Linked DNA regions of Sus scrofa. The protein of the gene in region 1 purifies or fractionates together with the protein of each later gene. This does not show direct contact. Links are inferred from orthologs where the notes say so. Each region holds a gene or a part of one and is shown in the gene's direction. Other genes may lie near its edges.

Region 1 (5,421 bases):
TTTCATAAGGGGGTGGATGACTCTCTCTGTGTGTGTGTGTGTGTGTGTATGTGTGTGTGTGAGAGAGAGAGAGAGAGAGAGAGAGAGAGAGAGAGAGAGAGAGAGAGAATGAGAATGAATCTCAAAGGCCAAACTGGGGCCAGAGTCGGAAGCCTGAGGGTGAGCGGGGGAGTTAACTCGCGTAGGAGTTCTTTCCCCCCAAGGGCACGCGTCGCCAGCAGGCCCCTGCTTGGAATGGCCCCGAACAACTTATTTCACCTTCTTTAAAAGAGGGTGTGATAAAACGGGCTTTCTGTCTCCGCCACTCCGAATCGCCCTGGCAGGCGCTCGGCCGGGCGACGTCCTGCGCGCAGTCGGGACCCCTGCACCCCCACGCGCCGGCTCCGGGAAGAGGGACAAAGAGTTTGGGTCAAGTTTGAGCTCCGGGCAGTGCCAGGCTCGGGGAAGGAAGGTCCCCTGGGTGGACACCCGGGTGCCGAAGGTGGAGTAAAGAGAAGAAGCTGCCTGGCGAATACAGGATCCAGAGAGTGGGGGTCAGGCCAATCTCCGCTGAGGGAGTGGCAGGCAAGCTGGGGCTCCGGAAGGCAGGCCTCTCTCGCTCCAAAGTAAAGCAAATCGGCCTCCCGGTCCACCTGGTTTCCCACAGCGCCGCTGGAAAACTCCTTCCCCTCTTACACCAAACTTTGTTCCCGGCTCTGCAGCCTCCTGAGGAGGCTGCGGAGCGGGAAGGGTTAAGGCTGCCCGTCCCAGCTGACAGTCAGCTGATTGGGCCCTGATTGACAGCTCCGAAAAGTTTCCTTGTCTCTACACTATTATGCTAATCGCGGCCGCCTCCCATTGGTCTGGAGTACCAGTCAATTTCCCATTTGGGCCTGACGTCACAAGTGCTATAAAACTCAGCAATTGCTTTAAACTCTTCTTGCTGGATCAGAGGCTTTAAAATCTTTTTTTCATCTTCGAGCTGTAGCTCGGGCTGCTCGTCGGCTCGGCCTCCCCCCTTTTGCTCTCCGCCTCGCCTTTCCCCGGGACTTCGCTATTTTGCTTTAAAAAAAAAAAAAAAAAAAAAAGCCAAGAAAGAACTCAACTCCCCCCTCCCTTTCCTCCAGCCCGGCTGCACCTCTGTCTTGCACTTTGCACGGAGGGAGGAAGAGCGCGAGGGAGAGAGAGAGAAAGAGAGAGAGAGAGAGAGAGAGGAAAGAAAGAGAAAAAAAAAATAAAAAGAGCCAGGCTGAAGAGGAGGCGAGAAGCATGAAGTGTTAACTCCCCCGTGCCAAGGCCAGCGCCGCCCGGACAGCCGCCCGCCGCGCTTCCAGCCCCGAGCGGCCGCCGCGCGCGCCCCGCCTGCAGCCCAGGCCGGCGAGGCGAGCCCTCCTTATGCAAAGGGCGCAGCGGAGCGGCGAGCGGGGGACGCCGCGCACCCGGCCGGGCTCCTCCGGCTTCGCCGCCGCCGCCGCCGCCGCCGCCACCGCAACCCGCGGAGGACCTTCCCGAGCCTGAAGCCGCCGGCTCGGCGCGCTAGGAGACGAGCAGGCGAGGAGGGGCCCGGGCGAGCAGCGAGCACATTGGCGTGAGCAGGGGGAGGGAGGGCGGGCGCGGGGGCGCGGGCAGGGCGGGGGGGTGTGTGCGCGCTCGGAGGTTTCGGGCCAGCCACCGCCGCGCGAGCTAGAAGCGCCCCAGCCCGGCAAGCTGGCTCACCCGCTGGCCACCCAGCACAGCCCGCTGGCCCCTCTCCTGCAGCCCATCTGGCGGAGCGGCGGCGGCGGCGGCGGCAGGAGAATGGCATCAGAACTGGCAATGAGCAACTCCGACCTGCCCACCAGTCCCCTGGCCATGGAATATGTTAATGACTTCGATCTGATGAAGTTTGAAGTGAAAAAGGAACCGGTGGAGACCGACCGCATCATCAGCCAGTGCGGCCGTCTCATCGCCGGGGGCTCGCTGTCCTCCACCCCCATGAGCACGCCGTGCAGCTCGGTGCCCCCTTCCCCCAGCTTCTCGGCGCCCAGCCCGGGCTCGGGCAGCGAGCAGAAGGCGCACCTGGAAGACTACTACTGGATGACCGGCTATCCGCAGCAGCTGAACCCCGAGGCGCTGGGCTTCAGCCCCGAGGACGCGGTCGAGGCGCTCATCAGCAACAGCCACCAGCTCCAGGGCGGCTTCGATGGCTACGCGCGCGGGGCGCAGCAGCTGGCCTCGGCGGCCGGGGCCGGCGCCGGCGCCTCCCTGGGCGGCAGCGGCGAGGAGATGGGCCCCGCCGCCGCCGTGGTGTCCGCCGTGATCGCCGCGGCCGCTGCGCAGAGCGGCGCGGGCCCGCACTACCACCACCACCACCACCACCACGCCGCTGGCCACCACCACCACCCGACGGCCGGCGCGCCCGGCGCCGCGGGCAGCGCGTCCGCCTCGGCCGGTGGCGCGGGCGGCGCGGGCAGCGGCGGCCCGGCCAGCGCCGGGGGCGGCGGCGGCGGCGGCGGCGGCGGAGGCGGCGGCGGAGCGGCGGGGGCGGGGGGCGCCCTGCACCCGCACCACGCCGCCGGCGGCCTGCACTTCGACGACCGCTTCTCCGATGAGCAGCTGGTGACCATGTCGGTGCGCGAGCTGAACCGGCAGCTGCGCGGGGTCAGCAAGGAGGAGGTGATCCGGCTGAAGCAGAAGAGGCGGACCCTGAAAAACCGCGGCTATGCCCAGTCCTGCCGCTTCAAGAGGGTGCAGCAGAGGCACGTCCTGGAGTCCGAGAAGAACCAGCTGCTGCAGCAGGTCGACCACCTCAAGCAGGAGATCTCCAGGCTGGTGCGCGAGAGGGACGCGTACAAGGAGAAATACGAGAAGTTGGTGAGCAGCGGCTTCCGAGAAAACGGCTCGAGCAGCGACAACCCGTCCTCTCCCGAGTTTTTCATGTGAGTCTGACACGCGATCCCAGCTAGCCACCTTGATAAGTGCTCCATGGGGGTCCGACTCGGGTGTGGGCTTGCCAGTTCCAGAGCCTTGCTCGCCACCACCTCGCCCCCTCCCCTCCTGAGCTTGCCCCCCGCCCCGCAGTTGCCCCCTGCACACACACACACACACACACACACACACACACGCACGCACACACACACACACACCCTGCTCAGAGTTGGTGGTGGTGGCTGTTTTTCAGTCGGGGAGGGGCTGGTTGTTTGGCTCATGGATTGCCAATCTGAAATTCTCCATAACTTGCTAGATTGTTTTTGTTTTTGTTTTTTTTACCCCCCCCCCAACTTGCACAATGTTCAGAAATCTCGGCAGAGTTCCTCATACTCACCTTTGAAGCCTGCATCCTTCATATTTTTTTTTTCTTCTTCTTCAGTTCATGAGCTGGTGTTCATTTTCTGTGTGTGTGTTTTGTTTGGATTTTTTTTTTTTAATTTGACTTTTTGGAGCTTGCTGTGTTGCCCTCCCCTCCCCCCCACCTTCCACCCTCACTCCCTCTCCACTCATCTCCTCTGAGATTTAAAAAAAAAAAGAAAGAAAAAAAAAAAAGAAAAGCTAAGTTTTTTTTTTCTCCTCCTGAGTTCTTCATATGAGATTGAGCTTGCAAAGGAAAAAAAAAATGTGAAATGTTATAGACTCGCAGCGTGCTGAGTTCCATCGGGGTTTTTTTTAGCATTGTTATGCTAAAATAGAGAAAAAAAAATCCTCATGAACCTGCCACAATCAAGCCTGCATCAACCTTCTGGGTGTGACTTGTGAGTTTTGGCCTTATGATGCCAAATCTGAGAGTTCAGTCTGCCATTAAAAAACTCATTCTCATCTCATGCATTATTATGCTTGCTACTTTGTCTTAGCAACAATGAACTATAACTGTTTCAAAGACTTTATGGAAAAGAGACATTATATTAATAAGAAAAAAAAAGCCTGCATGCTGGACATGTATGGTATAATTATTTTTTTCTTTTTTTTTCCTTTTGGCTTGGAAATGGACGTTCGAAGACTTATGGCATGGCATTCATACTTTTGTTTTATTGCCTCATGACTTTTTTGAGTTCAGAACAAAAAAGTGCAACCGTAGAGCCTTCTTCCCATGAAAGTTTGCATCTGCTCCAAAACTGCTTTGCGTTACTCAGAACTTCAGCCTCCCGTTGTAAATGCACTGAAGGCATTCCTTGTCAAAGATGCCAGAATGGGTTAAAAATTTAACATGGCGAACATTAAAGAACTCTTAATGTTTTCTTTTTAATAAGAATGACACCCCATTTGGGGGACTAAAATTGTGCTGTTGCCTAAAGCAGTCTCAAATTTATTTTTTAAAAAAAGAAATCTTCCCCGTTATTTTTGGTTTGGTTTTTTTTTTTTTAATTTTACTTTTTTTTTTGGCTTTTGGTCATTGTCAAATGTGGAATGCTATGGGTTTCTAGTATATAATTTAATTCTAGTTTTTATAATCTGTTAGCCCAGTTAAAATGTATGCTACAGATAAAGGAATGTTATAGATAAATTTGAAAGAGTTAGGTCTGTTTAGCTGTAGATTTTTTAAAAGATTGATGCACTAAATTGTTTACTGTTGTGATGTTAAGGGGGGTAGAGTTTGCAAGGGGACTGTTTAAAAAAAAAGTAGCTTATACAGCATGTGCTTGCAACTTAAATATAAGTTGGGTATGTGTAGTCTTTGCTATACCACTGACTGTATTGAAAACCAAAGTATTAAAAGGGGAAGCACCCCTGTTTATATCTGTAGGGGTATTTTACATTCAAAATGTATGGGTTTTTTTTTTTCAAAATTAAAGTATTTGGGACTGAATTGCACTAAGATATAACCTGCAAGCATATAATACAAAAAAATTTGCAAAACTGTTTAGAACGCTAATAAAATTTATGCAGTTATAAAAATGGCATTACTGCACAGTTTTAAGATGATGCAGATTTTTTTACAGTTGTATTGTGGTGCAGAACTGGATTTTCTGTAACTTAAAAAAAAATCCACAGTTTTCAAGGCAATAATCAGTAAATGTTATTTTCAGGGACTGACATCCTGTCTTTAAAAACAAAATGAAAAGTAAATCTTACCACAATAAATATAAAAAAATCTTGTCAGTTACCTTTCTTTTACATATTTTGCTGTGCAAAATTGTTTTATATCTTGAGTTACTAACTAACCACGCGTGATGTTCCTATGTGCTTTTCTTTCATTTTCAATTCTGGTTATATCAAGAGAAAGAATAATCTACAATAATAAACTGCATTTTTTTTTTTGATTCTGTACTCAGTTTCTTAGTGTACAGTTTAACTGGGCCCAACACTGTGTTAGAGGTATAAAAGGCATCCTTTACTCCAGAGGAAGGAGTCCTAGAGAAATAGGGAGGCAGGAATTTAGAGTGAAACACAGGCTGTTTTGTGAGGCGCGAGGCCAGTCCCTTCTCAAAATTAGTCATTTTCAGGGTAAATGTAAATTATGATCTCTCC
Region 2 (4,222 bases), on another chromosome or scaffold:
CTTTGTGTTTCTCCTGTCCTCCCTTTCAAATTTTCCTTGGCCCTCTTGATGAACATGGGGACCGATCGAGCCCTCCCAGCCATGGTCTCTGTGTGGATGGTGGCACACTGGCTGATTGCCTCTGTCCTTGTTACTTGGGTGGGGGCAGGGGCGGGGGCTCGTCCTCCAGACAGTGGGCGAGGAAGGGGCTCCCTGGGGGATCTGTAGCCTGAGTTCTGTACCTTTCGGATACGGCTGGCCCCCCATCAGGTTGTGTTGTCATTTTAGTTCTGGAATCAGGTGCTGGGCCTTGGAGGAAAAATGCATGCAAGGTGGTTGGGGGAGTCCTGGGGGCTGGACTCTGGCAGGAGGGAGGGGGCAGGGAGTGGCCCCAGGAGGCACGCCCCATGCCCGCGCTTCTCTGCCAACAGCGCCCATGTTGGATGAATCGGTTATCATCCAGCTGGTGGAGATGGGCTTCCCGATGGACGCCTGCCGCAAAGCCGTCTACTACACGGGCAACAGCGGGGCCGAGGCCGCCATGAACTGGGTCATGTCGCACATGGACGATCCAGGTAGGCTGGGGTGGGGAGCTGGGTGGGGCGGGGCCGCTGCACGCCCCACACACTTCAACCCCTTCACGTCCACAGATTTCGCGAACCCTCTCATCCTGCCTGGCTCCAGCGGGCCCGGCTCCACAAGCGCAGCAGCTGACCCCCCACCAGAGGACTGCGTGACCACCATTGTCTCCATGGGCTTCTCCCGGGACCAGGCCCTGAAAGCTCTGCGGGCCACGGTATAGCCTGCCCCCAGCCGAGCTCAGTCCTGTGGGAAGGAGAGGGTGGGAGCAAGCTTCTATCCCTCGTGAGCAAGACCAAGGATGACCCACGTAACGGGTCTGAGGAGCTAAAGATGCTAAAGGAGCCGAGGCCGGAGTTCCCGTCGTGGCGCAGTGGTTAACGAATCTGACTAGGAACCATGAGGTTGCGGGTTCGATCCCTGGCCTTGCTCAGTGGGTGAAGGATCTGGTGTTGCCGTGAGCTCTGGTGTGGGTCGCAGATGCGGCTCGGTTCCTGCACTGCTGTGGCTGTGGTGTAGGCCAGCAGCCACAGCTCCGATTAGACCCCTATCCTGGGAACCGCCACATGCTGTGGGTGCAGCCCTAGAAAAGGCTAAAAAAAGAAAGAAAAAAAAAAGATAAAGAAGCTGAGGCCTTCCCTGGCAGCCTTCTCCAGCCTGACAGTGCTAGAAAAAGTGACTCTTCTCTCTTTTCTAAGAACAATAGTTTAGAACGGGCTGTGGACTGGATCTTCAGTCACATTGATGACCTGGACGCAGAGGCTGCCATGGACATCTCGGAGGGCCGCTCCGCTGCCGACTCCATCTCCGAGTCCATACCAGTGGGACCTAAAGTCCGGGATGGTCCTGGAAGTGAGTGTCCCCTGAAACCAGAACAGGCCTGGTGGGATCTAGCCCGTTGGCTCCACCAGGTCTGCTTCCCTGGGGTGGTGGGAGGAGGCGGACAGGGGGCAGAAGCTTCTTTCCACCAGCTCGACTCCTGGAGGTGGGTTCCTAGGACGAGAGAGAGCCTCTGGGCCCAGTGCATGCCTCCAGTTCCCTGAAATCCCGTCCTGTGTGTGAGCTGTGGGGTCCAGCCGCCCTCCCTCTCTGCCCTCTCTCCCCCCCTTCCCTAGAGTATCAGCTCTTCGCCTTCATTAGTCACATGGGCACGTCAACCATGTGTGGTCACTATGTCTGCCACATCAAGAAGGAAGGCAGGTGAGGGGCCAGCACGTGCGTTTTTGAATGGGAGCGTGATGGTGGGAATGGTAGGGGCATCCTGGAAGTCCTCAGATTATGTGTGAGGGAAGGTAAAGGGTTGCTGGTGGGGCCGCAAACTCAGCGGAAACAGAGAAAGCCTCACGGCAGGGATTGGCCAACAAGGGCCCAGAGGCTGAATTCGGCCACTCACTTTTATAAAGTCCTACTGAGAGTTCCCATTGTGGCTCAGTGGGTTAAGAACCCGACTAACATCCATGAGCATGCGGGTTCTATCCAGGGCCTCGCTCAGTGGGTTAAGGATCCGGCGTTACTGCAATCTGCTTGATGCGTGTAGTTCGCAGGCAGGGCTCAGATCTGGTGTTACTGTGGCTGTGGCACAGGCCGGCGGCCACGGCTCCAATTTGGTCCCTAGCCTGGGAATCTCCGTATGCTTGCAGGTGCAGCCGTAAAAAGAAAAAGTCTTGGTGAGCACAGCCAATTACCCACTTATCTATCTGTGGCTCTCTTCGAGTTGCCACAGGAAAGTCAAGTAGTTGTATCAGAGACCAGATGGCCTGCAAAACCCGAAACATATCCTGTCTGATCCCTGCCTAATAGGAACGGGTGGCAAGTGGCTATAAAGACACCACAGGGTCTGAAAGCCCTGAGTCCAGTCGCAATGACCCTGTGAGATTGGGATGCTCCCTTCAGATAGGCAGCTGGACTGTAGGTTTGGGGACCCAGGCAGAGAATGTTGGGAGCCTTTGCCCGGGAATCACCAGGAGCCACCTCCAAGAGAGGAGCTGTTCATCCTTTTCCCCCCACATTCTTCCCCAGATGGGTGATCTACAACGACCAGAAAGTGTGTGCCTCTGAGAAGCCGCCCAAGGACCTGGGCTACATCTACTTCTACCAGAGAGTGGCCAGCTAAGAGCCCACCCTGAGCCCTTAACCACTGAGGGCAGGGGACAGACCACCCGGCATGAGGGATGGATGTCAGCCCCCCTGCTCCCGTACCCTTTTCCTTTTCGTGTCCCCAGCAGCAGGGAAGAAGCTAGAGGCTATGAGAGAATGGCCAAGCGAAGTGGGGGGGGCACTCTGGAGACTTTGGGGATGGAGCAGGAAGGGGAACGGGAGGGGCCGGCTGCCTGTCTGTGAGGAGACTGTTGCTTTCCTGCCCTTGACCCCACAGGGCTCTGCTTCTCTGTGATCCTGCTGGCCCAGCGTGGAGCGGGCTCGTTTGTTTGTGTGGCGTGGGTATAGCTTTGTGCAGCCTCTTCCACAGGAGGGGGCTTCTGTGCCTCCCCTCCCCCGTTGTGTGTGCTCCCCGTGTGGTTGGGCAAGGAGGGATCTGAGGGAAATGGGGACCCCCCTCGCCCTCCTGCCTCAGTCTTTTCCCCACCCTGTCTCTCCCCTGTCCTTCTGGAAAATGCCAAAATACAGGATGTGAATAAAAGTACAGTGGCTCAGTTGTGTCCTGTTTGATACCTTTGGGGGAAGCTGTCTTCCCCAGGGCTAGCAGCGGGGCCAGTTTCACAAAGCTCCTGGCCCTGCCCCTTTGCCTTCTATGTTTTGTGCTGGTGTGATTGGGGGCTGAGTGAGGTGAGCTCTGGGGCAGCAGAGGAAGGCTGCGGGGTGGGGGCTGTTAGATGAGGGGATGTGGGCTGGGGTGTCACAGAACAGAGATGGGGTGGAAGAGCCCTTTCTTGCAGCCGTGATACCGGAGGGGGCCCAGGTGGGTTCTTTCCAAATGTCCCCAGTGGCTGTAGTCCTTTGTCAGGCCTTGGCCTGCTGGAGCAAAAAGCGGGGTATTCATGGGGACAGGGCGGACTTCTGAACCCCCCTCCCTTAGCTGCACAGTTTCTAGCCAAGGTGGGCCATCCCTCCGCTGCTGAACCCTGTTTTTTGCCCAGTTACTGTGGGGCTGGGTCGGCCCCGGGTGGGTCAGAGGTGTCCGCTCAGCACTCAGGGATGTGGGGGCTCCGATGGGGAAGGAGGCTCCTTTTCCCAGAGCTGGAGAGAGGCCCCTCCCCTATCCCTCGGTGTGGGGGTGGCGTGATGAAGCCGTGAAGCGGGGGTTTCCCTGAGCACCGGGCGCACGGTTCTCCCCAAAGTCAGACCACGGAAGCTGTAGCCACCGAGCCTGGACGCCGCTGGAACGTTGCTACAAGAAAGAAGGTGACGTCAGAACCTCGCAACGCGGGCGGCGGCGAGCGGCAGCGGGCGGTGGCGGGCGGCGGGCGGCGGGCGGGGCCGGGGCTGGGCTTCCGCGGGGCGGGCCAGTCATGGCCCAGGACGCGAAGGGGGCGGGGTTCTGCCTCTCCGCTCTCTATATAAGCGGCCAGTGGAGACGGCCGCGCGCTGCTCCTGACCTTCAGTGTGCTGGCTCCAGCGCCATGGCGCCCGCTAGGAAGTTCTTCGTGGGGGGAAACTGGAAGATGAACGGGCGAAAGAACAATCTGGGGGAGCTCATCAACACCCT

What was found.
Region 2: the proteins of MAF (region 1) and USP5 purify together in Homo sapiens (affinity purification with western blotting; 3 studies listed by BioGRID, with this or other methods). This does not show direct contact. The link is inferred for Sus scrofa from reciprocal best matches to the Homo sapiens genes MAF and USP5.

The regions. Positions count from the first base shown.
Region 1 is NC_010448.4:8,467,006-8,472,426, forward strand, and holds the start of MAF (transcription factor Maf), read left to right. Parts: upstream 1-1,730; 5' UTR 1,731-1,776; coding exon 1,777-2,897; intron 2,898-5,421.
Region 2 is NC_010447.5:63,842,729-63,846,950, reverse strand, and holds the end of USP5 (ubiquitin carboxyl-terminal hydrolase 5), read left to right. Parts: intron 1-410; coding exon 411-775; intron 776-1,256; coding exon 1,257-1,410; exon of another isoform or gene 1,411-1,673; coding exon 1,674-1,758; intron 1,759-2,577; coding exon 2,578-2,671; 3' UTR 2,672-3,209; downstream 3,210-4,222. UniProt on the Homo sapiens protein: Deubiquitinating enzyme that participates in a wide range of cellular processes by specifically cleaving isopeptide bonds between ubiquitin and substrate proteins or ubiquitin itself.